Linked DNA regions of Alligator mississippiensis. The protein of the gene in region 1 purifies or fractionates together with the protein of each later gene. This does not show direct contact. Links are inferred from orthologs where the notes say so. Each region holds a gene or a part of one and is shown on either strand. Other genes may lie near its edges. The genes, in order: ASXL1 and OGT.

What was found.
Region 2: the proteins of ASXL1 (region 1) and OGT purify together in Homo sapiens (affinity purification with mass spectrometry; 3 studies listed by BioGRID and IntAct, with this or other methods). This does not show direct contact. The link is inferred for Alligator mississippiensis from reciprocal best matches to the Homo sapiens genes ASXL1 and OGT.

Annotation. Positions count from the first base shown.
Region 1 is NC_081832.1:1,414,718-1,430,314, reverse strand, and holds the start of ASXL1 (polycomb group protein ASXL1), read left to right. Parts: upstream 1-7,414; 5' UTR 7,415-7,643; coding exon 7,644-7,703; intron 7,704-12,088; coding exon 12,089-12,171; intron 12,172-12,259; exon of another isoform or gene 12,260-13,016; coding exon of another isoform or gene 13,017-13,120; coding exon 13,121-13,123; intron 13,124-15,056; coding exon 15,057-15,165; intron 15,166-15,597.
Region 2 is NC_081831.1:83,412,315-83,427,911, reverse strand, and holds the start of OGT (UDP-N-acetylglucosamine--peptide N-acetylglucosaminyltransferase 110 kDa subunit), read right to left. Parts: upstream 6,981-15,597; 5' UTR 6,909-6,980; coding exon 6,872-6,908; intron 1,880-6,871; coding exon 1,699-1,879; intron 1-1,698. Other genes in the region: TAF1 (transcription initiation factor TFIID subunit 1), read right to left, coding at 8,205-8,433, 10,050-10,227, 10,741-10,894, 11,184-11,282, 12,473-12,598, 14,785-14,901, 14,982-15,049. UniProt on the Homo sapiens protein: Catalyzes the transfer of a single N-acetylglucosamine from UDP-GlcNAc to a serine or threonine residue in cytoplasmic and nuclear proteins resulting in their modification with a beta-linked N-acetylglucosamine (O-GlcNAc).

The DNA.
Region 1 (15,597 bases):
ACCTGGCAGCCAGACAGATCTGCTTCCCTTTAGAACTGAGGGTCTTGGAAGCATATTTATGCTCTCTAGAATGAAAGCAATAGAAACTGAAGTCTTCTACCTGTTTACACACATCAGTAAGAAAGAACTGTTTGACATGACCTACTAAACACCTCAACCCCTACTCACAGGAACCACCTTGTCAGAGAATGTGTCAGCTTACCAGTGACAGCTCCACAGTAGCTCCCTTCCTCTCTCTTCTCTGTCCCATCCCTGGCATTTGAAGCCGGCATTTGAAGCCAGCATTTACACCGAGGCCCGAAATCCTGGGGTGCATATGGCCATTTCCTCAGCTCTACCAGCATTCGTAGGAAATATATAACTGGCTTGATGCGCACATGGCTGGTTCTGCCCGCCACTGTGACAGGGATGGGGTCTGGAGCACTTTGAGGCAAAACCAGATCTGCTCTCTTCTGGTATGCGTGGAGCCTTTCTCTGGGTGTACAAGGGAGTTCAGTGCAGGCGCTGCCTTTTATGCCTCATCCTGTTCCAACTGAAGAGCATTTCCACTTGTCACTTCTAAGCCTCCTCGAATGCAGTGTGAAGGGTTGGGGATGAGGGCCTGTGTCATCTGAGGTCTCAGGAGAGGGAATCTGATCTTAATTCCAGGGATGGTACACCGAACACGAAGAAGAAAGAAGTCCTGCTTTAGATGGTCTCTTTTCAAAGCTGCCCTATGACTAAAGTAGGCTGTTGTAATGCTGCAGGCCAGTGTGGCCCAGTAGGCCAGTGTGGCCCAGTAGGGAGAAGGGAGCTGCCGTATTGGACGGGCTCAGAAGACAGAGTAAGGTGTTCCTGTCTGGTGTGTCTCTGTTCAGTTTGTAAGTTTTAGTTCACTGTATATTGAGATTTGGGCTGCTTCGTTTTTCAGTTGCTGTTGACTGTCATCCTGTGTATGTTTGTACCTGTTTCTTCTTCCTCACAGACAACCTCCCCCAAGACCGACTGGTGCGTGTATGAGAACTTGCCTGTTTTTAGAAATATTCTCATGTGTGAAGTCTACCTTGTGTCCTTGTCTACCTAAGTGTCCATTGACTGCCTCTGTCCAGGCTGGAAAGCTCCATTGTCTGACCCCCCTGAGCAGAAGGGCAGAATGCTTTCTCCGCGGAGCTCACCTCTGCATCTTGCGGGCACGGTGCCTCGGTGAGTCAGCTGCTCGGGTGGACCCAGAGTTAAGTACTAACTCAGCTGCTTTGATTCATGGAGTGTTTTTTCTGGGTCAGGATAAAATTAATATATATACATTTTAATTTTGGTGGGGAAAGGAGGGGTTTGCTTATGAGTGAGGGAGCAGACATCGGGTTTCTGTTAGCCTGCCATAAACTTCCGTTTTATAAGCCACTCTGTCTGTGCAAGGAGTCTGTACAACTGGCTCTTGTGGTATAATACAGTGTCACATTCTCTCTCCTTCCCCTTTCTCTCTGGCATATAATCTTCTCTGAGACTGTGTAGTTTAAGCACTCAGAGCACTGATGTAAAGTAAATAGTTGCCCAACTTTAGGTAGTCAGATGGATATGCGATATATGTGTGTGTCTTCAGCCAGTATGATTTTAGTGGGTTTCTATCTGAAACTTGTCAACTGAGAATATTGCTTGGGACAGGATTGGCGCATTAGAAATCAGAGCCCGAATTGAACCTGTTCTGCTTTTACTCTTAATAGGCGAGATGGTTGATATGTCAGAAAGCCCTGCTTTTAAGTTCCAGAAATAGTTTATCAAGGCGAGAGAAAGGGAATGAGGTGGACAGATTTTAAAATTGCCTCTTCAGTCACAGTATTTAAATTGGAACAGTGGTAAAGACGTGGCTGGTGAATGTACTCGCAAACAATCTCGGGTGGCTGCCAAAGCTTTTGGCCTCTCACACTGACTGAATTACCCCTTGACCAGATCCTCGGTGGCACTGATATTAGGATGAAATGAATGCATTGTGTCTTAAACTGTACAAAATGTGTAAATCTTGCGTTGACGTGACCCCTCCAGGTCTGTGCCTCTCTGCAGCATGTGGCTATTGTCCGAACCATCTGGGCTTCCTGCAGGTAAACAACCAAAGACGACAGGAAATTTGCCCAGCTCCTGGATGAGGTCCTAGGAGAGTGTGTGCAATCATAGTCTCTTCATAGGAGTGTTTTTACATCCTTTCAACCTTTGCTCCGATCTGTATAACTGGGTCCAGTTCTGTTTCTCCAGCTAGGCACAGTAAAGCTCTTCTATTCCAGAGTCAAATACTACGCAAAGCAAAACACACAAGAATGAAAGCACTTTCTTAAAATCCTGAATATAGGTCTGATGCATGCTGCTTCCGCCTTCTAAAACACATACTTCTGCTTTAACCTTTTGAATGGTAATGATGCATTATACAGATCCGACTTCTGGGTCAATACAGATCTCTCTGTCTAGCTGTAGTAAGTTCTCCATCACTGAACCGCTGATCCTTTGCCAAGTTTCAGAGAAGCACTGATTGCTGTGACTGTGGACATCTTCTCTACCCTGTCTTTCCACCTCTTGTGTCTGACCATAAAGCCAGGGCTTAATTAAGAGGCCTGGCTCTGTTTCTGCAGTGTTAAATGTGCAAATTAGAAGAACATGCCTGCACAATGCTAAAGCCATAACCGGGTGCTCAGATGGAACTGAACAAGAGCAGTGGTGCCTGTTTGCTCTGCACTGTACAGTGGTGGTTTAACTCCCTATGGTTTAGGCACTTACTTCCCTTCACGTCTTTGGCCCCGTCTCTCCTGTTTCTGGAATGAGGTGCCTGTGAGTGCTCGTGGGCACACCTATCTTTTTTGAAATTTCACAGCTCCTTGGAGACACACTGATCTTAACCTTCTCTTAGGTGACGTGTAGGCAAAGAACATGTCAATAGCTCTGTCCATAGGTTTTACAGCTTATATTTATTTGTATCATCTCTTTTGTCTAGGAATGTAAAAGTGATCCTAAAATAAGATGTGTAATAAAATCAATCAGATTTATTGTATCTACAACAACGTGTCATTTTCTGTTCTTAAACGAGTTAGTAAATAATTGCTATGGGTTTAATGGGACCCGTAGGATATTGTAAAACATCATGCCCTATTTGTTTTTGAAGGAAAAGAATCGGGTGAAACAAGCGTATTACAATTAAACAACGGAGCGCGAATGTGCTGTTGATGAACGGTGTCAGACTGCTAGCCCCAAAGAACTGACATATTGCTGGTATCAGTCATATATGATCTCTACCCCAGGGAGTCCGCTTTCTGGATTCCATTAAAATAAAAGCAGTAGTGGAAAAGGTTAGGGTAAACCTCAGCATTCATTCTCATAATGCACCCCCTGTTATAAATGGCCTAGATTTAGAAGGAAAGTAAGGCTGGAATGAGATGCAATCCCTCATTCTTCTCACTAGAGGGAAATAAGGAGTACCACTACAGTAAAGATTGTAGGGAAAAAAGATGCCTGCCAACAAGCAATATAAAATAAGACAAGCCCTAAAGAGCAGTGACCTCTAGAGGACAGTAATTCAGCTGAGCGTAGATGGTAAAAGTAAGTGTGATGGAGAAAAAGTATAGTGAATACACTAGATCAAAGCCTTCATTCCAGAAGAGCAGCTAAGGGGCTCTAAGCAAGTGCAGGAATTGCGGAGCTGGATTCAAGCATTTGCCTGCATAAGCACAAAAAAGTGTGGTGCTAGTCACTTGATTAGAGGTTTGCAGCCTCACAACTTGTGTGTGTGTGTGTGTACATACAATACATACGCACGTACACACACGTTTCCCTTTTTAGCTTTTTTTAATTACTCGAGAACTTGAGTCATCCTTATGTGCATATAGCACCCTCCTGGATCAGAGTATATTTAGAATCCATATAACAATATACTGTTAACAGGTTGTAATTAAGATTTTTAATATTGTGATTTCAGCCAAATACTTAGAAAGGGTTCTCTTCCCTCCACATGCTTATGCCTTGCCATCTGTACTTCTCAAATTGTGAGAGATGAAGAGCAGTCTTATTATAAGATTATAGGATACAGGCATCCCTGCTTAACGCTGTTTTGCTTAGCGCCATTTCATTATAGCGCTCACTTAAAATTGATACCTGATTTCACTTAGCGCTCAGCACTTTGCGCTATAACGCTCGCGGTTGCCATCTTGGGTCATCGAATACTTTTGGTTTCGCTTGACGTTCATTTAGCTTAATAGTCGGTTTTCCAAGAACCAATTAAGAGTGCTAAGTGTGGGTTGCCTGTACTAAATATATGGCTGAAATAGTTCTCTAGAACAGTAAGGTTTGATTTTTAAACCTGTTTTATGTATTTGTTTCTCTGTTACTTTACTGACTCCTGATGGAAGCTGTGATTTTCTCCGATTTGGAAAAAAAGACTTGGAAAAAGTGAGATGGGGTCGGGGGGGAAATGACACAGATTTTTCTGTGAGATGAAATAATTTCAGTAACAAATGAGTATAAATATCAGTTAAGATTTACAAATTTTACAAAAAAGGGCTTATCATCAAAGAAGTAAGGCTCTGAAAAGGTCTTCTAGGACTACTGGAAGCAAATAACCCACTGAGTTTTAAGACTGAATTTGAAAAGTTTATAAATAAAATGATACGACATAGTGCCTGCAATAGCAAGGAGCTGCACTGGGTGAACCAGGAGTTCCTTCCAGTGCCGTGTTCCTGCAGCGTATACTTTGTAAACGTACTGAGTCTTCAAACATAAAGACACATCCGAAAAAAGTCAATAAAACATGAGGGCATTTGTGCTCTGTACGCTATTCAAGTTTATCGTGCTTCTGTTTTGAATCCTAGATACCAATACCCATTCTCAACTTTTCCCCCTTTTTTGGCAACTGGCCTTTCATAAACCTTTGCTCAAACTAAACTGACGCTCTACTGATGCCGAACGGGCTGACCAGCAATGCAGGTCTTCAAAACAAAAGACAAATGAACAGAAAATAGTCAAATCACCAAATGAGTCTGCCGTATCTCCCACAGTGGCACCTGTACAAAATTCCAGTACTTTAATGCAAAACAGGGCCCCCAGCCTCCTCACAAACACAGACTCGGGGAAGAAACCTGCAACTGAAATTTGAAATGGTGAAATAAAGGAATTGAAGGTTACATTCACTCTGCCACCATTCAGCTGATGACCTTTGCACTGGGGGATCATTCCACGTTCAATAAATAAAGGAAATGGTCCAATAGTTTTATTAAATTTTGCCCTTGTATAGTTCCAGCTCTTTGTCTTAATTAGATCACGCCATGCACTGCTAAGACTGCAGCAAAAGTATTTATTGTCCGCCAGTGTTTTTGTGAGTCTAAAACCATCTCCGTTTGGTTTTGCAAATGTAAAGCTATCCGATGGCTCTCCTCTGCGTGAAATGCACACAGCCTCCGGCCATTCATGACAAATGGTGTCTGGCTCTGGACCACTGCAAATCTGAACTCCCTGAGAGCTTGTAAGCAGGTTTCCTGGCTTTCTGGCTTCTGCAGGCAGGCTTTGCTCCCTGAGGAGCTCCTCAGCCAGTCCTCCCAAATGACAGTCTTTCAAGCAAGCCAAGCAAGTGGAACAAAATCCCACTGTCCTGGCCCAGACACGGGGAGGGGAATCCTTTTGGCTCTGAGCACAGCATAGCTTGGCCCCTGCATGTGGTAAGCAGCTCAGTCCACCACTTGTTTCCTTCTCCTTGGCTTTCTCTTCTCCCTAACCCATCCAAATCCCCTGCAGCGGGACACTCGCAACACGGCTGGCTGGTCCCTCTTAAAGGCACCGTTCCCACCGCTGACCTGAGGGTGCCTCTTCCTAGGCAGCAAACATTTAAACCTATTTGAGCAGGAAACTGGAACAGGAAATTGGACCCAGATGGGCTTGGTTTCAACCAGGATGATGGAGTCTCATCCCATTACCTGGATGAGCTTCTGTCTTTCCTTTGTTCCCATGGGTTGTTTGCCCCCAGCCTCCCCTTCTGCCGGTCGTATGGTCCTGCCGCCTTCTCACGGACCCCTCTGGGACCGTCCCTTCCCCGCACCGCATGAAGGGAGCTCCAACCCGCTGACCGCTACCATCGTGAAATATAACAGAGCAAAATTCATACAATACGACATAATACAATGTAACATAACGTAATGTAATATATGATACACTATAATGTAATGTGATCAGGGATCCTGGTTTTCTCTGATAAAAAAAGTCCCCAATTTTCAGGTTAAAAAGTCACCCCAAATCCACATTTTTCTGCGATTAAAATGAAAAGGCTGCTAATACATAGATAAATCTCTAGAGATAGATCTATAGAGATGATATGTGTATATATATATATATATGCATATATATATATAGATGTATACATGTAAGATACAGATATATCTATATAGATATATATAGCTATATCAATAGAGAGATATCAATATAGATATAGTTATATCAATATATAAGTATATATCAATATAGAGATATCTCTAGAGATATATATCAATATATCTATATAGACAGATACATCTCTACAGATATAGATCTTTATCTATCTATACATATAGATATCTAGAGAGATGTATAAATATATATATAATAGTGTTTCATTTTAATCAAGAAAAAATGCAGATTTGGGATTACTTTTTTTAACCTGAAAATTGGGGATTTTTTTAAACTAGAGAAACCCAGGATCCCTGAATATGATACAACATAGCAGGATATAATGCAAGATAACATAAGGATGCAATACAGTACATTATGCTATGTTATGACTCAATATAATATACAATATCTGACACAATACAACACACTATGCACATATTTGCACATTACATTATGCAATTATATAGCTAGCCTATATTAAATTATGCATTGTGTGTATGCGTATATATATATACCCACAAACACACATATATATGCGTTTGTGTATATATATATATACACACATATATATATATATATATATATATATACACACACACACCCCATGCATCATTTAATATTATGCATAATTTTATATATATATATACACACACACAGAGAGAGTATGCATATTTTTATATATATCTATATCTATATATATAGATATAGATATATATATATATATACACACATACACACCCACACCCCCCTCCTGCCACTGCCCCCCCGCGCCGCCCCGGCCGCCTCCCCCCATCCGGGAGCCGGACACGCCGAAAGGGCCGCTGGGAGGCGTCCGGGGCCCAGCTCCCAGCATGCAAGGCGGTGCGCGCGGGGTCTGCCGGGAGCCGTAGTCCCGAGGCGGGCGCGGCGGCGCAGAGGCGCGGCAGGACTCGCGCTCCCAGCAGCCCCCGCGGCTTGTTTTCCTTCGAACGGGCCCGTGCGCCGCGCCCCGCCCCCTCCCTCTGCCGGCGCAGCGCGGGGGCTGTCTTGTCCCGCCGCGGCCGCCGTCGCCAAGCCCCTCCTTCCGGCTGCGAGCCCTTTGACCCCGTTGTTATGTCGGGCCCGAGCTGCTGCCGCCGCCGCCGCCGCCTCCTTCTTCTTCCTTAGCGCCCGGGAGCCGCCCCCCCCGCGCCCTCCCCGCCGCCTCACGCCGCCGCCCCGCGCCGCCCCGCCCCACGCGCCTAACGGTCCCGCGCCGCCTCCCCCTCCCCCCCCCGCGCCGCCGCAGGAGGAAGATGAAGGAGATGAAGCAGCGGAGGAAGAAGGAGCGCACGTGGGCCGAGGCCGCCCGCCTGGTGAGGGGGCCCCGCGGCGCGGAGGGGCGGGGCGGGGCGGGAGACCAGGCCTGCCCTGCCCTGCCCTGAGGGGCCGCGCGGGGCCTGAGCCCCGCTCCCGTCGGCAGCGTCCTGAGCCCGGCCTGCCTCGTCCCGGGCGGGAAGCGGGCCCCTACCCCGGCTTAGGTGCGCGCAGGCCGTGTGTGGGCAGCGGCGACATCTCTCATTCAACCCCCCCAATACATTCAGGCATATTTGTCTGTCCCGGGCGCAGGAAAACGCCGCTCCGCCCGCCGGCCCGCGGTCTCCCCGCCAGCCTTGTAACGGCTGTTTTTTGGGGACAAGTCCTGAAACTTGTGTTTCTCAGTTTGGGGGGGTCCATCCATCCGTCCATTCAAGGTGTCAACGTGTAGAGTCGATATTTGCTCTGGCAGCGCTGGTGGGACGGTGCTTTCTCTTGGAAATAACTGGTTATTTCTCAAGGCCGGGTGTGCGATTTAAAGAAGAAACTTCAATCTGACCATAAAATGATCGGGGTTTGCATTTAAAAGGAAAAAGGGAGGCAGGAGCGCACGTTGGAGACCGGGCTCCGTCCCCGAACTGTTGATCGCGTCGCCTGCCCCGGCTGCGCTGGCGCGGGCAGGGGCACAGGCGCGCTGTTCGAGTGCATGGCTTCTTTTGCGCGCCCCGTAGTGCTCACAGTTTCTGCCCTCTCCTTTTAACGCCGGCGGGAAGAGGAGCCCCTTGTTGCCCGGTAAACCCCGTGGAGCTGTCGGACCGCGGGCAGGGCCGGGTCCTGCGGTCTTCAAGCAGGGACTGGTGGAACAAGGTCGGTTTCCTCCTTGAAGCTGTCATTAGCGCTGGGTCGCAGATACGCTTGCCCTATTTAGGACTGTGAAATCCTAGGGAATATAAACTTTCATTTCTGCCCTTTTACAGTCTTTCCTCCGATGCCTGATGACGGGGGTTTGTGCCCAAAAGCTTGCAATTAAAGATGTTTTTATTTTTGTTGCAAAATTCGTGTTGGTCGAATAAAAGATAGCATCTCTACCACAAGTCCCGATTGACGTTTCCTCTGGACCGGTACGGCTGCCGCTTGGATGCCTTGCCATATTTAGCGTGTTGTGTACGGACAAATATAGAAAAGACGTACATTGCGCTTTTTTTTTTCATCTTTGGCATGGTTTATATTAGGGTATATAAATATTAAATGGGTGGTGTACGATTGCTTTAGATCAGTTTGGTTTTAGCGTCCAATATGTTGAATGCATTTTAGAATTTGTTTTTAAATACTGCTTCTGAAGGGAACTTGCTCGGTCAACAAAACGCTCCCAGGACCGATCGCGAACGGAAAGGAAATCTAACCTTCTGGTAGCTCTTGGGGAGGATCGTTATTTTTGAGCCCGTGTAATTTCTGCTCGTCTCTAGCGCTTGAATCTGAAGTAGCGGTTGGGGAACAGTAATGCCAGGTCCATGCAGTGAAGGGCTTTGCCCTGCGCATCCCTGTTGCAATACTAATTTTATGGATGATGCGCTTCCATACGGGCTCTTAGGCGACTGCTGGCGAGTGACCCAGAGATGCGGAGTAAAGGCTAAATTTTCTTGCAAAACGCTTCTTCCGCCCAACGTACTGAGTTCTAATGGAGACCTGCTTGGTATTCGGGGGCTGCCTCAAAGCTACAGCGCAAATAGGGCAGTGAGCTGTTTCGTGGCATGTGGTCTATCAGTGAACCTTTGCACACCTGTAGTTTCTGTTACGTCCCTCTTGGTTAGAGCTTCACCCCTCTGTATGCCGTGTGCCTGAGGTCTCTAAGTCCCAGCAGCATCTTTGTTCTATTTCTGGTTTGTCATTGGCTCAACCTCATCACAGATTATCCATTTAGGGAGACCAAGTCTTGCCTAGCTGAGTTCCCGGGTTGCAAACTCCCTTTCTAATTGATTGGAAATCTATTAAAAATGGATCTTTGTTCAAGACTAGGCTGCTTCATATGCTACCCATCAAAATGCTTTTAATATGACTCTTTAGTAGTTAGCGTTACATTTTGTATTCTTTTAGGTTGCTCCCCTGGATGGAAAGCAAAAGTGCTTTTTGGTGCCGCGTATTGTAGAGCTAATGTTTTGTGAATTCTGTAAAAACAGTATTTTAACATTTAGTTAATGATGTAGAACCGCAGGGAGTGTTCAGGACAGATCCTGAGGCTAGCAGGAGGGTAATTGGAGGAGTACCACAAACATTCACAATTCTGGTACTGAGGGGTTGGCAGGAACTGGAAATATTGTAATTATTGCTTTTTGCTTCTTGGGGAAGAAATATCCTGCTTTGTTCCTGAGTTATTCCTGCTCAGACTTGGTTCATGATATAGCCATGGCCTGTCATAGCCGGAGGAAGAATTTCTCCAGCATTAGCAGGATCCTTGAGGGTAGGAGAGCATCCGGCAGTCTTCAGCTCCTGCATTAAACAGTGAGCGGTACACCTGATACAGCTGGGAGCTATGAATTGTTCTCCTGAATAGGAATGCTCATTCCTGGAGGTAATTCATTCATGCCTGGTTGTGGGCTGTCCCTTGTTGATTGCCTTTGAGTTCGGTGTCCTGGAGGGGGTTTCCAGAAGTGTTGCAAGCAGTGGATGTTTTCTGTATTTCTTACAACGTGCGTGTTCTGTTTCACACTTGGCGCTTGAATGGTGCATGTCCCACAGGAGATGCCCTTTCCTTCTGCATGAGGAAGGGTGACAGTTTCTGCAGACAGCACCAAAGGTGTACACCCCATTAGATCTTATTAGTGTGGACGAATGTTACAGAGCTGTGCTGGCTGAGAATTAAAATAGTTTACTTTCTTTTAATCTAGCTTGTTGTTTTCCTGGATTCTTTTCTTTAGACTCCAGTGGAGTTTTCATTGTATTTAACTGTAGTTTCACCATTCCCAACTTCCAGTCCCCTGCCAAGCTGACAGTACCACACTTGGTATATTTTCTTTTCCAAATGTGTTCCTGTCACACAGTGGATGTGATTTGGTTTTGCCTTTTAGTGAGAAGCGTAGGCAGACTTTTAACTGCAGTATGACAGTAAAGCTGTGTCATTCAGGTTGGGCTTTTTCTTTCTTGACAGAGGCTGGGAGGTAGTGGTAACAATAGAGGTGGTGACCTGTGCCACTTTCTTGCAGATAGTTTTGTTCATACAGCTCCTCATATTGAAGGGAGAGCACAGCCATTGCTCCCAACAGGATGCTGCAGTGACTCTATTCTAGATGTTGCTGACAGAAAAGAGGGCCATTTGTTTTCTCCACTCATTGCTTGTACTAGATGAATTGAAAGACAGGATCATGTTGCCAACTTGTATATAGAACTGCGACTACTGGCATCTGGATTTCATGTCGCTGTGATCGTTACGTTGGGGAATTTTGTGTATGATTACTAAACCAGCGTCCCAGAAAGAATAGCCGTTGCTGCTGCTTTTGGGTAGTTCAGGACATGTATTGCATTTTACATGAGAATTGTTATACTGGATCAGACCAGTGGTCTGTCGAGTTTGGATTCCTGGCACTAATGGTGGGTAGTATCAGCTGCTTCCAAGGGAGGGGCCAGAAATCCTACAGAGTAGATGGTTATGGGTAATATGCAATGAAGGGGAGTTCTTCCTAAGTCCCAGGACGTAGAGGCTAGCTTCACTCCTGAAATAAAGGCTTACATCCCTTCTGTAACTGTACCTGTACATGTTTCCTATTATTGTGCATACCTAGTTATTGCTCTAAAATGCCCACTCCTTTTTATTTTTATTTTTTTTAATTCAGCTAAGTTGTTGGCTTCAGTGATGTGTTGGAGCAGTGAGTTCCACAGGTTAACCCAGCATTGTGTTGGAGAAAGCAGTTTGTTGACTTTCACTTGAACTGACTCTCCCTCCACCCTGTTTCATAATACAAGAAAAAAAGAAGCTCTTTCTTTAGACCTTTTTTTTGTTTGCTTGTTATTGTATGCCCTTTTCCATCTCTTCTCTGATTCACTTTCTCTCTAAGGTAGCCTCAGCCTTTTCAGTCTTTCTGTGCATACATTTTTCCTGTATCTAATTGTTCCCGTTCCCTTTCTCTGAACCCCCTCTGCCTTACTTCAGTATCCTGTTTGAGATGGCCAATATAAATGAATACGGTATGCTTCCTACTTTGCACAATAGCACTTTGATTAGTTAGGGACCTTTTGAGGAAACAAGGCAAGACATTTGCAGCTGTTTGAAATGTGCACAGATCATCCATGTTGTCTGCTCCTGGGGCGGCCCACGTTTTGTAGCAGGTATCCTTATGGAGGTGGTAAATTCTGGGAGGTCCATACTTGTATTTTAATCCCAGTTAAGGAAGCAGCTCTGTGAATGTGAACAGAAATTGTATGCTGAGTCCGGGGTTTTTTCTCTCTTCAGGTGCTGGAAAATTACTCTGATGCTCCTATGACCCCGAAACAGATTCTGCAGGTCATAGAGGCTGAGGGACTAAAGGAAATGAGGTTAGTATTGATCTTCTTGTCTAAAACAAAATGTGTGGTATGGGGGAGGGTGGATAGAAGGGGCTGGATTTCTTAGTGCAGCTCTTCCTCCTTTCTCTAACCTGTCTTTTTTCCTTTTCTCTTCCTCTGTAGTCTGATTGTCTAGCATGAGAATGTATTAGGTCATTTTCTTTGACAGTTTTGGAGGATTTTCAAGTTCATTGGAACAAAAGCACTGACCCTCTGTGCCTTTTAGTGGAGTTGCAGGGATTTTGTAAAATACAGTAAATGCCAACTGCAGATCTGTTTCTCACATCAATACTTCTCCTTTGCATGTTCCTTTTATAAATAAATAACTAGTTACTAATACTGGGTCCGAGCTTTTACAATGAGTTAAAAAACTTTGTCTCCATAAAGCTTCCACTTCAGAGGATGTACCACCCCTTTTCCAGGGGTCAAGGAAGGCACCTCCCTTACATAAGCAACATATTGAGCTCCCTTCATTTTCCAGCACTTGGTATATTAGTACTGCTGTACTTTTTGTGGCCCCTGTAGACTGGGAATATGGAAAAGAGGTGCACCTCATTGTATCTTTGACCTGGAGAAAAACCTGAACCTGACCCAAAAAAATCATAGGGATGGAAGACCAAGTGTCATCTGGGATTAGTCCCCTGGAATTGGTTTTGTTATAAAGCTGAAGGGAGATGCACAATATTTGGCAGGTCAGAGGAAGGAGATGTTTGCTACCTCTGGTGCTGCAAGCTCCTTTACTTGTGCAATGAGTTGAAAGTCACCAGGATTGATTACTGGTAGTAGCTCAGCCTGTCTTTGGGTGTTGAGTATTGATTGACTCGCGCGGGATATGAATGCTCTGTGCTCTTCTAATTGTATCTTTTCCCCCCTCCTTGGTTCCACGGACTGTTTTCCACCATGTTGCATACATCGCTGTTGAACCTCTGCGTGACTATAGAAGGTAAATGAATTCCTTTGGGACTTGGTCATTCAAAATTTTCACTTGTTTCTGCTTCTCCTTCCCTTTGAAATTAGGAACCAGTCATGATGGTTTGAGTAGTGAAGAAGGTTGTAATTCAAACAGGGGTGTAATATGTAGGAGTTACTGTTGTTTGAAAAGGGACTGTGCCAGCTTGCAGTACGGTGCCTTCTTGGTACCAGAGCCATTGAAGCACCCACTCATTTAGGTTTCTTAAAGATTTCATAGCCATTAGGGCTGGAAGGGACCTCGGAAGATCATCGAGTCCAGCCCCCAAAGAGGAGGCTTTTGGTGGGACTGGACATGGGCAACAATGTCAGAGCATAGTGTGGAATAAAAATGGGCTTAGATTGAAAAGCTTTGTGGTTTTGCCCTGTTTGGATTAGTTACTCATCTAGTTACTTCCTTTGTTCAGCCCTCTTCCCTATGTGGGGTCTGTTGGCATTAGATTGTCCCTTGTGAATGGCACCTTTTCCATGATAGGCAGGTAAAAGCAGGCTTTGCTAAATGTCAGCATTTAAATCTTGGGTTAAATTAATTTGTTTAGGGATTGGTGATTTTTCTCCAAGGGATTTCTGCTTCCATTTGCCCCATCATTGGTTTTATGCTACAAAGAGCAACTGCTTTCTCTCTCTATCATGTAAGTGAAAGGACAAGCATTTGCTACAGATTCAATGATTAAAATATGGAGTGACCATTACAAGCAGAGATCTTGTCTAGCTAATTGTCAGGGTTTGAGGGACTTCCCAGAGAAATCTTAAGTCTTGAAAGAAATAGCACAGTGACTCAAAGGACCCTCTTCCAGATGAGTCAGTCCTGATTCTAACAGACACTTGGCTGTATTCTTCAAGAAGTGCAACAGTGGTTGTTAGTGGCTTATGCTTGAGCTGGGGCTTTTGGGGCCAGCCTCTTGGCTAAATTTTAAAACCTGCAAATGTTTTGAGTTCTCTCATTCTCAGCTGCAGCTTCAGCTGGGGAAGTTACACTTTTTCCACTCTTTGAATTTCTGTTGTGTTGCCTGGTAATTTATTTACCACATTCGTGTTGGTGCCAGGGGAGAAATTGTGCAATAGAGGAGGAATCGGAATTTCTTCATGGTATATAAAAGCAACCCATGGTAACTTTGCTTACTTTCCTGTGTAACAAAGAAATGCCTGAAAACAAACATAGTCAAAATGAAACCAGAAGCCGACTAAGGCTGGTTTTCAGTTTGAGAAGCTGAGATCAAATTGTTTGACATTTTGGACTGAAACATTTGGTCTGATACCAGTTTCAGTTTCACTTTGAATAACGGTGAATTCTGCATTGCTTTTAACATCTCCTCTAAGTAGCTCGTACCCATATGACTGTGGAAAACATGACACAGTGGTGTGTGGCACAAAGGTGTCATCAGCGGTGGCGTAGGACGGCTGCTTTGCTTAGAAGTGACAAACAACCCCTGAGTCCTGTAGGCCACCTAGAATAATGGCATTAAAGCCCTCTCAGTTACAGCACCTGGGCATGTATTCTGCTGGCGAGATGTATAGTGCAGGAGACTATTTTGGAAGTGTTTGAGTTTGGAAAAATGTTGTACCTTTGCTTACAAAACCAGGTTTCCTTAGCAACGTTGGGCCAGTTCAGAGGAACTGTAGAAAGAAGAAGCATCTTGTGTTAGAACCCTCTTAATATGACCTAGGGTGACTTGAACATTGACATAACAAGCTGTTTCCCTTGTTCGCTGTGATATGCCAAGACTATGCCGTTCAGAAAGTAAAACAGTAATTGGTTTTGACTGGCTGAAATGCATTTCCATAAAGTTTGTAACCATCCTCTCTACCTGCTGCTGCTGGTTTAAAGGGGAAGAAACCAGTGGATGGCATAGTGCATTCTCTAAACTGGGGTTTAAATCATGAATCCTCTTTCTTTCCATTTGCAGTGGTACTTCCCCCCTGGCCTGCCTCAATGCCATGCTACATTCCAATTCAAGGGGGGGTGATGGACTCTTTTATAAGCTGCCCGGACGTATCAGCCTTTTCACACTCAAGGTAAACTGTGAACTCCCCTCTTCCTATCTGGGGACCAGTCGCATATCTAACTTGCTACACAAAGAGGTTGATGTTATAAAGTATATCAGCTTGACGTATCGGACACAGTAACTTCTTGTGAAATAGTCTCTGGGCTCGGGGAATTTTTGTCTGCCTCTGCCTAAGATGCTTATGATAAATTTCAGTTTTTTTAACTCTTAAATTATACAAGCAAGGCAAACTTCTCTTACACCACTACTCAGAATGCCACTCTTTTAGTTAATGCAGTTATGGGATGATAGTGCCCTGTCAACATGGTAAGACCTCTGTGATTCCCTTCCGGTTGTTGAAAAAGGGCACAGTCCGATTGCAAATAACATCTGTCTGAAAGTATCTAATGTACAATTACTTGAAGAAGTTAGTGTGTATTTTCTCATTTATTTACCATTACAC
Region 2 (15,597 bases), on another chromosome or scaffold:
GGATTTACAGCCAAATACATAAAACAACTAAACCCAAGTTTCCAAACAATCCTGAAAATGGAATCTGTTCTAGCGCAAGATCAGTTACTCTACCCTCAGAGCACTGACAGTTTATATGAGAACTGAAGAGGAAGTACCTACTTTATGTAGAGTTTTGCAAGGCTTCTAGCATATGCTCAAGCCTACAGCCAACTATCGTTCCAAAGGACATCGGGACTTCTGTTCACAATTTTCACCAACAGTGGTCTCTGGAACACTGCATTCAACTTAGGTCCCTGGCAGACATTACACTTAAGATGCAATTAACTTGTTGATTGTAACTTAAATAGTAACCTAGACATCTGTTTAGGAAATCAATGGCATGATTAAACAGAAAATAAGCCACAAAATGTGTGTAATATTCTGTGGCTGGTGTCCATTGCACCTTATACTGAACGGGTAGCAGCGTTTCCACTATGGAGCCTAACACAGGCTGCACGGCTGGGCTCTGGGACTGGCCTCAGTACAGTCCTACAGCTGGGACCTATAATGAACTGAATGCCAGTCTGTCTTGGGACTGTACTGGAATCTTGAACCAGGTCCATTGAGGTCCTGGGGCTGAGATAACAATCAGCTGATTCACCTCAGTTCATTAGGCACTTGCCTTACTACTTGCTAGTGTAAGGGGGAACCAACAAGTAGTAATTAATGACAGGGTTGGGATCTGATCCCCAATCGCAAAACCATGCGTCCTGCCATGCCACACGTGCAAGGCAGAAAGTGCAACTCTTCCAACGTGAGAACAGATCCATTTGCACCTTCAACTGAATGTGTGCCAGGAGCCTTAATTAACATGCTCCCTGCTTTCCTTTTAGGAGGTAACACGCAGCAAGGAAAACTAAATATAGAATGTGTTTTTCCCCCCTGTACCTGGGAAATATTTTTAAACTTTAAATAAGGTATGTAAAATGAATCCCAGTCATTAGGGTACTACATTTGAAAGCCTGTTTAAGTCTACCCCTGCCATGCAGTTGGTCCAATAAAAAGTTATCACCCACAAAAATCCTTGCCCCTCACATACTTCCTGGAGCACGATGGCTACAACATCACTCCAACACAACCAGAGACAAACACCTTGTGCTGCAGTCGAACAGCCAGTGAAAGTGGCAGTAGCACGAAGGAACACCAAATAACATAAGTGCCTCTGAGTGCACCTAGTAGCTATACATGGCTATTTGTTGAATTCTGACATTTAGAAATCTTTTCTTCACATCATGTCACACTGTTAAAAGCAATCCATTTAAAGGAATATATATGTCTATACTCTTTGGTTACTTTAGGCACAAAAGCAAAGCTTTAAAACAGCTTAATAAAAACTGTTTCAAGGTTCCTTAGTCTGCCTTTTCAGAGCAGTTGAAAAAACATCTTCTAACTTCCATTCATGTAGTCTCTGAAACTCTGGAGAAGCAGGGGGGGGCGGCACCAGATCTACATAGCCAACAACTGCAAACTGAGGACCTTTTCACCATTAAGAAAGTCCAGTAGAACCAGATTGTGACTAATACGCTGATCCTCTCCATCATAAAGAAGCAACACAAATGAAAGTTTAAATAAAATGGAAGTTAGAGCATTATTTCTCACAGCTGCACAGCAGACTTCTCTTTTCACAAGCAATATACTGACAACACAAAAATATGAAGACACATTTCAAGTCCCTACCTGTCCAGCCTGCGACACTGGAAGTGAATGGACGACAGTAACAAAAGCACACCAGTATTATCAGGCTCTTGTCTCCAAAGCTGCATGCAATGTCTCTCTGCTGCTTCAAAGTCTCCTGCCTGATATTCACGATGAGCCAACTCCGCTAACCCTTGGAAGGAAAGCATACGTTTCGTTGGTTCTGGAGAATCACCAAAACATTTAAGGGGGGAAAACAAAAAGTTAGAAAACGGAAACAAAAAAGATGTAAAAATATGGTGTATAAAATTAAAGGATGAAAATGTTTGAAGCTACATAAAGCACGAGTGCCTGACACATTAAATGTCTATATCCTGAGCTCAGCCTAGTTTTAGTAATTTTCTAGCATTAACATATGTGTTTAGTTCACAGTAGACAATTCCCTTCTCACTCTGTATTGGAAAGCATGCAAGAGTTTACAATCTACAACATAAACAGGATCCCTTATTTTCAGAACCACTTCAGTCACCATCCCCTGCTTCCCCTTTTGTAAGGGTCAGAAAAATAAATAAGATACAAGCTACCAAATTAGTAAACAGATTTAGGGATATGACACAAAGGAATTCTTTTAAAGGGACTCTGGCAATATTTCACTTCCTTTTCATAGGAGGAACCTTGTTATGAGCACAGGCTAAATGTGCTTATCCTCTTACTTAAAGCTAAACCCTGTTTATAACATAAGCAGAGCATCTGATTTTAACAGATAGCTAAGCAAAACAGAAGGAACAGTAGATCTGGATTTCATGCAAAGAACTCAAGAAATAAGACAGAACAGAAATACAAACTACGTTAAAACAAATAAATTTGTCCCTACTGTCTTGCAGCGTGCACTATAGTCAGTGTTCTCTCAGGCCTTCAAAGAAAGGAGTAAGTAAAGACTTATTACATTTTCCAGGGCATAAAGCATATTTTGTCCCCTCCCTGAGGAAAGTCTACAATGAAGATGCCATCTGTACCAATTATGTAACACAAACTGTAATAACTAATAACTGTTAACAAAAATTAAATAAATACAATTGAAAGTTTTTCCCCACAACTGGCACTTCATACAGGGGTGCATCTTATACCCCAGAATATATGGTATTCATTCTAAGTGGTTACTTAGGCTAGAAAGTGGGATTTAAAAGATTTCTTTTTTAAAAATACCCGTGCCCGAGACAAATATAATGCAATTCTACTTGGTCATAAAACCAAAGGCAGTTACCCGATACAGAAAAGACTTCTAGACTGAACACAGACACTATACTGTTAAGCAGAGATTAATCAATCCACTCATCCCAGAGAAAGTTTGCCCCAGTAAACTCCTTTGGAAGATACTGTATTATCGTTATGACTCTCAGGATCATAGGACAACAGCGCCAGAACGGACCTCACAAGGTCACCTAGTCCAATCCCTAGCTCAAGGCAGGATCATCCCAGCCAAATGTCTTAAAAACATGCAAGGACTGAGATTCCACAAATTCTCTAGACAGCCTGTTCCAATGCTTGACCACTCTTATAGTCAGAAACATCTTCCCAATCTCCAACCTAAATTCTATCTAGTGCACTCCCCACAAGGAAAGCCAGAGTGGTGAGAGGTGCCAGGCTGTGCTGTCCCCTGGAGCAGACTCAGGGAGAAGTGGGCAGGGCTTCAGCCAATTTCCAGAGAGCCACAAGTACCATGCCCGCAAGGCAGTTTGGCCCCCGTTGGTCTAGCAGCTTCTCCAAATAATCCCCAACATATTCTGCCATTACTCTAGGCCAGAGGTGGGCAAAATGTCAGATCCAGGCAGTAGCTGGACTCCATTTCCCAGCAGCCCCTGCCTGTGCTGCTCCCAGCCTGTCTCCATGGAGCAGTGTGGGCAGGAGCTGCTCCAGGACTGGGATCTTGCAGCAGTGACAGCACAGGGACAGGGCCAGTCTGCTGCCTACACAACCCATGCTTGTTGCAGGGGCATGCGGGCAGCAGGTTACAGCTCTGCCCTGCTTTCCCCCTCCCCCACCCAGATCCCATGCTCTCCCTGCCTCTGCTTGCCCATCTCACTCCTGGCCACAGCCCCATTCCCAGCTGCACGAGTCCCATCCCAGCAGTGGAGGTGGGAAGGATGGGCTGGGTTTGGCAGTGGCAACCAGCAGCTGCCATTGCACGGGGCTGCTGGGAAATGGAGTCCACCGCAGGCCAGATTTGCCCACCCCTGCTTTAGGCTGTTTACCTCCTTCCTTACCTGTTGCCAACGGTACTCATCATTTGATAGCTGCCCCTATCTGTAAAGACTGAAGTAAAAAAGGCATTAAATACTTCAGCCTTCTCTACATCCTCCACAGCTAGACTGCCTTCTGCTTTCTGTAAGGGACCTATGATTTCTCCAGTCTTCCTCTTACTTTGGACACACTTTTTACTGCCTTTTATATCCCTTGCCAGCTTGCATCCCAAATTGTGCCTCAGCCTTCCTAATTTTCTCCCCGCAAGCCTGCGAGGCACAATTTGGGATGCAGTTGGTATAAGTAGTACTGTTATACGCTTTCCTAGTACTACAACCAAGTTTGCACTTCTTACAGGATTCCTTTTCGAGTTAAACTCAGAGAAGAGAGTGTAGTCTAGTCAGGCTGGTTTCCTGTTTCACATCCCATTCTTCCATCGCATTGGGATCGCTTGCTCTCAGGCCCTTAAGGGCCTCCTTGAAGTACAGCCAGCTCTCGACTTCTTTTCTCCTTAGACTTGCTTCCCAGGGGATCCTGTTCACCAGTTCCTGTTAAACTCCAGTGTCCTTGTTCTGCTGCTCTCCTTCCTTCCTCCACTTAGGATCCTTTAAATCCATCATTTCATGGATGCTGTCACCAAAGTTACCTTCCACCTTCACATTCTCAACCAATTCCTCTGTTTGTGAGCAGCAAGTCAAGAACAGCTTCCCCTAGCTGGCCCCTTTACTACCTGTATCAAAAAGTTATCCCCAAAACTGCAGCAATTTGATGGACTGCTAATGCACTGCTGTGCTTCCCTCCCAGCAGAGATACCAACAATTTAGAGTGCCCATGAGAAACAAGTCCTGCAATTTGGAACCTCCTGGTTTTGGAGGCCTGTAACCAACACCCACCATGACATCTCACCCTGCAGCTGTATTGTGACCTTCATCCAAAGACTGGCAACCTCCCTTCCAGTTTGGGCCGCATTTCCAGAGACATGCACGTCTTCTCTACGTATACAGCAACACCTCCTTTCTTCCCTCACCGGTCCTTCCTGAACAACTGATACTCAACCATGACAGTATTCCAGTCTTGTGAACTATCCCACCACATCTCCATAATCCCAATTACATCTTAATTCTGTGTTTGTACTAGGACCTCAAACACTTCCTGTTTGCTCCCATACTTCTCACATTGGCATATGAATATTTCTGGTACCCGTCTATCCTATCTCCACCCCCCCCAACATTGCTACAGCTTCTGTAATTGCTTCCCCTTACTACGTTTTCATCCAGGTCCCCAGCCTCTTCCCTTACCTCTGGACTTTTGCTTTAAGATTATAGGAAACAAAAGTTTAGACAACATTTTTATTTCTGCTGTTTACTTTTGGCATTTCTGTTTCAGTTACCCCAATAAACATTCCTATCCTAACTTGGCTGTTGTTTCAAGGCATGAATATAACGCTGGAAAATCCTCTACAATATAAGAGACCTCAACACGGGGTATTCCAGCAAAGCATTTATGTACTACAGAAATTCCAGAAAGTTCATTTCCCCTGCATGTGTGCAGCTCTTCACATACAAATAGGACACACTTTGAAGTGGACAGTGTGTGGAGGCCGGGCATTGCAAAGGGCATCAGGCATAGTAGTATCTGAAGCCATTTATTCATTTATAATCAACTATTTCAAACTGATGGTCTTTGTTTACCTGTATTAAAATGAGCTTTCTAGTTCATACATGGAGATAAACTGAACTCTTTATTTTTCCGAGACTAAATTGAGGACAACTCCAGCACATCTCCTACTGTTCATGCTTTGCCAAACTACAGGTACGGTGAAGTCTGCACAGCTTGGGAAAACATTGAGAAGAGGATGGGCCTGAAACTATACCAGAAAAAACCAAAAACTAAGGGCAAGTGTAACACCATTTCCTATCAGATCTACTCGCTGCAGGCCCTGATGAAGGCCAGATTTCCCGAGAAGGATCACCATTCTTAGGACCTCAAGCTGAGAGGGGAATGACGGCTCGCTAAATCACTGTCATAATAACGTTCCTCAGTCTTCTCTCTCCTGGCTACCGCTGGCCCAGATGTCATCCTTTAGACGGCTGGTATCCAGTATGTTATTTAAAGTTCTCTTATTAAGCAGTCCCCCACTGCTGAAGATGCAAAACCACAAAGAAAATGAAGCCGATGCAAAATAAGCCATCTTCCTCGTTCAGTATCTCTCTCGATATAAGCTAACAGCGTATCAACCTGCCAGATGACTGGCCATACACGCTATTCGGGTAAGAAATAAGCATCGCCTTATAATACTTAACCTGAAAAGTCAAGTGCAATGTTAAGATGAAAAATGGAATAGGAAGACAGTAACAGATATATGGAAAGAAAGTAAAGATGCTCTATTTTTATCTGTGAAGGAAAGGGGGTTTTTTTAGTAAAGAACAGATGAAACGTTCCCTCAGGACTGACTTTGTTGAGTCCCTTGCAAAAATAAGAAGGCACAATGAGGCCAGATCCAGAGAACGAAGACCTCCACGCCCGGCCAGCGCCCGGCCCGCCCCTGCGCGCCGATCCTCTGCGGGCGGCCGCCTCGCCCGGGGCAGCGCCGCTGCTGGAACAGCGCTCGTGAGGTGGGGAGGGGAGCCAAGCGCGCGGCGCTGCCCCGAGCCGTGGCACACGAGGCGGCAAGGCTCGCCCGGCCCCGGCCCCGGCCCGCCCTCGCCGGCCAAAGCAAGCGCCGCGGCCTGGGGCGGTCCCGGGGCCAGCACGACCCCGCCGCCGGGCCGAGTACACGGGGACCGCGGGGGAGGCGGAGGGCGCGGGCCCCGGGCCCGAGGCGGCGGCGCGGGGCCAGGCCGCGACCCCTCGGCGCCTTCTGGAAAGTTCCGCGAGCTCCGGCCGGGCCCCGGGAAGCGCGGGGCGGGGCGGGGCGGACGCTCGGCTCGGCCCGGCCCGGCCCGGCCCGGCAAGGCGCGGCGCTCGGCCGTACCTGTGCTGTCGGCCACGCTGCCCACGGAGGTCGCCATGGCGAGGGGGTCCGGCGGCTCCGGCTGCAGCGCTCCGCGCGGTGCGAAATGGCGGCCGCGGAGGGACGAGTCCGCGCAGCTCGGCCGGATCTAGCTCGGCACACAAAGTAGTCCAGCAGGACACAGCACCGGCTGCACGCAGCGTCCCGCGCAGCAGCGGCCCAATTCCCGCCGGACAAGCCTGGACGCCTTTGCCACGCCGGTATCCCACGGGCAGGGCCGAGCGGGCAGCGCGAGGCCTCAGGGGCGGCAGCACTTTGTTATGGTGTCCTTCCGCCTGCCCATTGCGACATCCCGGCCCCAGCGCGCATGCGCCGCCCTTCCGCACATGGCGCCCGCGGCCACATCCGGGTGCGTCACTGCCGCGCGGGGCCTGCTGGGAGCACCCCTTACCCTTCTCTCGGCCCCGCTCACGAGTGGGGCGGCACGAGCTCCTGGGCCGGGCGGCTCTGCTCGGGCCCCCAGCGCCGCTGGGCCCGCACCTGGACAGAGCAGAACCAGCCCCAGCCGCGTCCTCTGGGTCGGGTCCCAAACGCCTCAGGGATGGAGACCCGGCCCCCGTCTGACCTGGCCCACTGCTTCGCCCCCCGCCGGGCAAGAACGTTTTTCCCTTCTGCCACATTACTCCTTGTCCCGTCACGTGGTGCCCCCTGCGGGGGGTTTCTCCGCTCCACGGAGGAAGAGGGAGGTTGGCAGTTAAGCAACTCCAGGCACAGCAACCCCTCGAGCAAGGAAGTTCAGAAGAGACCTGATCTGACATACAACACTGGAGAAAAGCACAGCTCCCGGAGTCTGCCCACAGTTCTGCAAAGATACACGGGCCATGCATGTATCTTTTTTAACAAAAGTTTACTCACATTTCTTTTACAGGATACTTTCAGACATTTATTTTTTGACAGTGTGTAAAGGCCGATTAAACAAACCGCACCAAAAACTAAATTTCCAGCTCACTCACTAATATCTGTAAGGATGTTTTGTCTCTGGAAAGAACGAGGAGGCACAAGCCAGAACATGGGATTCTCGAGCTGACTCCTGTAACTGATGACCAGCACAGCTGTTCAGCGATGTCAGGAGGGGACTTTTCCCAAAGCTTGGCATTCACAGTTTAGATTACTATTGTACATTATTTCACGTAGTTAACAGACTTCTCATTAAAATAGAAGTTCTATCCAAGAAAAAACAGGTGCTTCAAACGCGCATCCCAGACTGCATTGTCCGTGAGTCTGAAAGGGCACACAGGACCCCTGTGAACCACGAGTGCACACATGCCGTAGCAACAGAGGATGTCTGGGAAGCTTATTCATCCGAGTCCAGGTCACTGTCTCCTGCAATGGAATGAAATTCCTCACTGTCCTCCTCATCCTCAGACAGATGAACCTGGCTTAGCACACTGGGCCCACAACGCTGTTCTTCCTCCTCCTCTTCCTCCTCCTCCTCTTCCTCCGAGACTTCATACCCTCCAATGCTGCTAAAACTGGTATCTCGTGTGTTGGACTTGGGATCTGGTTCCTCATAGCTGCCATAACTGAAAGAAAAAATGAAATCTTACTACATTAATGTTTCTGACTGTTCATTTACACTGACACTCTTCCCTGGACCCCAATGGCAAAGGCAAAAAGGCCCATACAAGAACAGGTCTCATTTTCTCTACTAGTAAAAAAATTCCCAGTGTAAGAACTTTTGCTCTCTAGGAATCCCTCCCTTCCTGCTCCCTGAACAGCATGATGAGAAGAACAGCACCCAGCCTCACAACTCCACAGAACAGCTAGAGGAAGAAGCAGCAACCTATGGCCCATGGGCTGGGCCCAGCCCGTGAAACCACTTGATCTGGCCCATGGATGTGGGGCTTTGGTGGTATTTGGTAGCAGATCCAACCGCTGCTACTGCTTCTAGCACCCACCCACCTCCGACCCAAGCTGGGTCATTGCAGCCTGAAGCCTAAAAAGTTTGCTGACTGCTGGGCTAGAAGAAAGCCAAGCCAAGACAAAGAACATGGGGTCTACAAGGGGCAATCTTCTATACACCATGCATCCGATTTTCAGGCAAATGAACTGCTATCAAAAGATGCACTGTGTACACTTCCTCTCTTTTGACATTCGTATTGCCTTTACCTGTTTGTCCTTTAAAGGGAAAAAGCATTAAGTTAAACAGAATCTGAGGACCTAAAATTCATCTCCTAAAAATCAACTCTTTCCACAATAATAGCATTTAATATTGTCGAAGACTGTCCACATGAGTGAGTTTTTTGCTCTTTAACAGAGGCCCTCGCCACACGTTACACTTGCTACTTGCTGGGGCAGGGAAAGCCTGGGATCATGATCCTGGGCTCCCTCTGCACCAGCAATAAGGTGTGATGGCATGTGTGGCATAGCAGGAAGTGCAATTGTGTGGATTGTGCACTGGATCCTACTGCACCTTTACCTGCGCGTCTGGCAGAGGCCAGGCGGTACACAAAAGTAGAATGTTAAAGCTACGAATCATTTGACCTTGCGTTACCACGTTTTTTCTTTTCTATGTAATTAGTGGGGTTTGGGTTTTTTTAAATTTGGTGAGGTACCTACAGCAGAACCAAGTTCACAGCAACGAGAACATTAATAAAATTTTAAGAATAATTTTAATTTAATAAAAGAGTAACAAAGTGGTTATTCTTTTATTAAAGAGTTAAACCCCACCATGATCTGGTCTTCTCTACAGTGCTCTCCTAGTAGGGGCATAAGGTAAGTGCCTTAGAACGGTGTTTCTCAACCTGTGGGTCGCAAGAACATATGAAAGGGTCATGAACAAACTTTAAAAATGAATGAACCAACTTGAAAAATGGATTCTCCTTTAAAGGAGAAAAAACATGGGAAACCATGGCTTTTCCTTTGCAGGCTGGCAGAGTTCCAGCCTGCAAGGGACTGCTTGGGGCCCTCCATGCACCCCACACACTGGGGGGGCAGGGTTGGGAGTGAGGGGCACTGGGTCCAGACTGGCCATTGATGTTTACAAATGGGCCCTAGTCCAAAAAAAGTTGAGAACCACTACCTTAAAAAAAAGTAACAGAGGAACAATTTAGTTCTATGATTTTATGATTGGAATAAATTAGTTCTCCAGCAGATAGTGGTTTGTTTGGGTTTTTTTTTACAGCTCAGCTTTGATTACCTGATATTACTGTCCTCCATCACATGAGATGTCTCCCCAGTATCTCCCTCATAGGACATCATACTTTCTTCATTGTCCATGCCCATACGTGTGTTCTCTTGAAGGACGTGAGGCTGCTTGGGCCTCACTGCATTGGACTCCACGTCCGAATCGCTGCCACTCTCACTTAGCTGGATAGCTGTGCAACAAAGAGACTTGCCGATTACTTTTGACCTCTTTTTAATGACCTAATTCTCAGTCCCGTTTTAACAGCCAAAAGCTTCAACAGCAAGAAAAAGTCCTGTTTCCCATCTAAATCACTTGTGTTTTCATTACACCATTGGCCCAGTCCAGCTCCACGTGACCCCAGTAACCGACCTGAGCCTCAGTCTTTTCCCTTCCATCCTTCAGAGCTCCCCTATCAATCAGAAACGTCAGATCCTGCCTAAGCTTCTGTTTCCTGAGTCCACACATTTCACTTCTACTCCACTTCATCTTGGCTTACACCCAAAATTCATGCAACTTGCTGCTTGCTGTCGTTATCTAGTAGGTAACTGGGCTGTAAACATCTGGTCTCTGTCACCTCAGTACCCTGAATATCTACTATCCCAGGCCAGAATATATGCTACAGTGATCAAAGGACATGGGAGGTTGGCTGGGATGGGAACAGCCATTTCCTGCTCAGACCTTTGACGTCAAGACCCTAACATACATGAGAAAGGATTATCGCCTTCTTCGTCACTCCCATCATCATCATCATCTTCTCCATCTGACATGAGCAGATCTTCATACAGAACACTGGCCTGAGGCTGCTGGGCTGAGCCTTCTTCTTCATCAGCAAGGTCACCATCTGCATCTTCAACTTCCTGTGTCACACACAACAGGAATGGCACAGGTCAAAAAAAATCACATAAGCTACTGCCAGAGCCGGTACATGCTTACTAATTGACACAATTAATGAACAATACATTCAGTCATTTGTTTTTATGCTGACTGTTTCATGACCACAGATAAATCTCATTAATCACTGCTGTGAATTCTGTTGTCACTCAGGTGCCAGACCCAGCAGACTTGCCCTGCACTATGGAGTCTTCTACTATGAGGATGCAGATCAACAAAGTGGACTACAGATGGGATTTCTGTAAATATACTCACTGGGGCTGGAGTCTTAGGTTTCCCATCATCATCCTCATCAAACCCTTCAATATCTACGTCAGAGTCTTCCTCGCCCAGCCTACCTCGTCCCTGGCGCATCTGAATGAGGAACACAAATAGCAACACCATTGAGGGAGGCACTAGTGTCAGAAGAAAGAGTCTGACTGACATCCAGACCACAATAGAAGTATACCCTGGGAACAGGGACTCTTTTTCCTAAGAACTTCAAGACCTAACCAAATCTGTTTCCTGGATGCTTCTGCTACACTCTTCTCTAAGGAGGTCACAAGAAAGCGAGGCAGGCATTCCTCTCTACTTCCTAGCTATTACAGGATGGGCAATTTGTCCTAGGAGAACTTGTGGTTGGGCCTCGTTTCCTCAAAGTCAGTAGGCTGGTTCAGCAGCTTACAGCCACAGCCACATGCATGGGAAAACATGCACAGATTCTGTCCCCAGAGGTGCAGATACTGCTTACTAGGAGGCATTTTAGAACCCCAGATACGAGCGATACTACATTCTGCACTGAACTTTCTTCCTTGCCTGTTCCATCAGTTGCTCTGTTGCTATTCTCACTCTTTCTGCTCTTGTCATTTGCCCTCTCTTTCTTTCTCCTCAATGCCCTCTTCCCCCTTCATACCCAGGTTTTTCCATTAAATTTATCCTCCTCTTCATCCTCCCTCGCTCCATCTTTAGCCTCTAATTGGGGGGGAGGGAACCAACAAAAACAAAAAACCTAGCAAAACTTGCTCCCAGCGTCACCATAGCTAATTTGGAAATGCATTGTGATCCTTAATCCCCACTGCTTCCCCCATTGTCGTCTTTTAAATATAAGAGTGTGGCAACAAATGTGTCCTCTTGTGCATTTCAACACAATAAAATAATTATCATCTTCCACCCCATGGAAATTACTCTTCCTTTGCCCTATTCAAAACTAAAGGGCACCGACTTTCAGGGCTCTGCAGCAGGACTGACCAGGTTACCTGTTTTCCTAGCGCTACAGCAAACGAAGGCCTGTGGCCCTAGACAGTCCCCTATCACTTTTTACTCTTCACAGCCACAGAGAAACATATTTTGCCAGTGGCCTTGCACACACCTGCCTTTTTCCAGTGTTTCTGTCTCATTTACAATGACCACAAGGAAGGAAAGCATGCCATTTTCTCAAAGGCTTTCCACCTCCAGGTGAAAGCTAGATATTTTTTTTCCCCTCTGGGTCCCACAGAGTAATTGCCTCCTTAGAAAAAGGCACTTATATAACCTAGCTCTCTACCAAAGAATGGAGGAAATCTGACCTGGGCACCCCGCTTCTCTGGGGTAGTGGTAGGAGTATCCATGGCAGACAAATTGCTCTCATCTTGATAGACGGAAGCATCACGTGACATACTGAGGGAAGTGTTGGTATCATACAAGTCTGGTGGCTAAAGTACATGAGGAAACAGGAAACAAAAACTCTCTCAAAAGCCAAATCAAAGCTTTAGAAGACCTCAGGAGGAAAGCATGACTGGAACTTCACTAGCTTAAAAAATGCATGCGTTTAGTTCTCAGTATAAAACACTATAATAATCAGAAATAGTAATTTACTCCTAGGAAAAAGAAAAAAATTGGACTAAAAATGGTAAAAGAACCCACAACTTGTTACTTCTATAGGAATAATCTTATTACAAAAAATGGACAGATTCAGAAAATAGAAATAAACTGTTGTGGAGATTATATTAGATATGAAGACAGATGGCATTTTCTCTCTCCTTCCCCGACTAATCACAATGGTTCTCAGCTGCCTACATACCATCTAATCTTGTTTTAAATGTTTCAATAACTGGGACTTCAGCAACTTCCTTTATAGACAGTTCCACAACCTGAGATTTCCCACTGCCAGGAAGTGACCCATGGTTAGCCTAAATATCCTCCCCTCTTAAATCCATCCATCACTCCTAATTAAATCTCCTTCCCTGTTATCTGCAATCATTTCTATTCCCTGTTTTGGACTAGATACCCAAAGAACACTTGTGGTCCATTACCTCCAAATACTCCATATACACCCCAATGGCTTCACCTAACTTGAATGTTTAACTTCCTTTTTAGAATAATCTGCACAGGCCCTTAACTCAATCACCAAACTTACTCTGTCCTTCCATTTTCCTAGTATTGCAGCACCCAGAATTAGATGCAATGTTCCACGTATAGTCAATCTAGATCTACGTAAAGGAAGAAGCTACTTATCTGCAGCAGGAAAATCAATTGCAGGGAGAGTCCTGCTTAGGCCGTGCAGCACTCTTCAACACATAGCAGCTAAGTTCTCTAAAACAATGTCCACTGAGCATGTGGGGACAGATTTTTTTTTTCCCCCCCCAAGACTTATGAACTCGACCCAACTTAGGCATGTTTTCCAGAGGAACAGCAAAAGATACACCCGTAATACCAGGATGACCCTCCCCCATCATTACATTTTAAGTCAAGTCCTTGTTACAAAGCATGGAGGCATCTGAACTTTCAGCCAACTAGCTGTGAATTTTTTTCAATATGGGCAAAGTAATACACATTTTTCCAAATCTCGTTCTTGGAAAAAGCTGAATTCTTTTTGCTGATGCTTTTTAAAAAAATTCAGCATGGAAATTTTCAGCCCAAGCAATCAAAGCTTGGCAACGAAATATCAGACTACATTAGGCATAGACCTAGGCTGTCAACACACTCAGAGAACATGATCTGTTTGTAGATATCTCTGGCACAAAACAGTAAAATCAAGGGCTTTGCAGAATTCGAAAGGGTTGTTTTCATTAGGTGGAAAAGCTGAGGGTAAAATATCTAAACAAACAGGAATGCAAAGAATACCGTCACATTTTCTTCAACACTGTAGGACACAAGTGAAGAGGCAGTTTCTCTACTCAGTTTTAAGCCTCTTTCCAGCCAGCACCCTACCCAAAATTCTTAAGGTCATGTTCGTAGTGCTTTTCTTGCTGTCTCATGTCTTTTTCGGTCTTCTCTGCCCATCTCTGACTATTACTGACAGCCCCAATGCTGCCAATCAGCTCTCAGCTAAACCCCTCCACTCGCGTATCTCAGTTTGTAACCAGCGTAGTAAGTTGCTTGTGTTTGGGGTTGTAGCTCTTCCTGTTTCAGGTATCCAGAATTAATTAAAAAAGAATTCAGGAGGCTGAAAGGACTGGCTTATGGAGGACAAATTGAAAGAGTTTTATGTATAAGGCTCGACTAAACAACAATTAAATATGGGGGCACACACCCCATAAACTCGAGGTCTGAAGAGATGAATTCAGGGAGGTACATGTGGCTATAACAATGAGTCATATCATTAATGAAAAGCAAGAAGTAAATGCAGCAGCCTCCTGACAGACGCACTCAGGTGTGGAATATTCTCTTCAAGTGCATTTAGAAGCAGCCTACTCTATTTAGAACTAGGCTGGACATGCGTTCCGGTGCGTGCAGTAAACAATAATCCTGCTCTGACTCTTGGAAATGGCCTAGATGATCAAACAGCCATGTGTCAGTAACTGCTGCAAGAAATAGGGACAGGCAACAAGAGGTTCCTTTGGATCAAACCGTTAATGACAGACATAGGAACAGCAAAATCTTGCTTTGTTACACTTGCCTGAGGTGTGTAGGGACCGGGAGTCATAGGGTCAAGACTTTCTAAATCTGCCTCCTCCAGTGCTGCTTCTTTAGCGGTAGAGATGTCTCTTTCCAGCTGTGTCAAGTGCTCATCATACTAAGAAGGGAAACATGCATCAGGATTGTAGAAAACCAGAAATGCATTACTCAGACTTCACAGCAGAGCGGGCAACGTACCTCAGCCAGCGTCTGGTAACAGATGTTCACTATTTCCTGAGCCGTTTTTGTGTACTGACTGTCAGGTCCTGCAACAAGAACCACACCTCCTCAAGTTGTCCAACGTATCAGTGATGCCTCAGGAACTGAAGCACCAATGTGTTCAAGCCACCCAAATAAGAGGCCTTCCCATGCTAACCTTTTAGATTTGGAAGAACATTTAAAAAGTAAATTCTCCAGCAGCTGAGATGAAGAACACCTCAAAACTGTGGACAGTAGGAGTTTCATACTAGGTCAGATGAATGGTGCATTTAGCCCTGTATCCCACCTCCAACACTGGCAGTAGCGGATACTTTTTGTGGGACAGCATATGAGCAGGGTATATCTGGACTGATTTATGCCCTATCATACCCTCCCTAGCATCCACCACCACTGATTTATAGACACTAGAAAATCCCTGACTTCTGTTTAATAGTTTAATTAACATCTATCAACCATGAATTTGTCCAGTCCTTTTGAACCTGGCTATATTCTCTGCCTCTATAACTTCCTGTGGTAATGAATTCTACAAATTAGTTATGCACTATGTAAAAAGCACTCTCTCTTGTTAGGTTTAAACTTATCTCCTACTAATTTC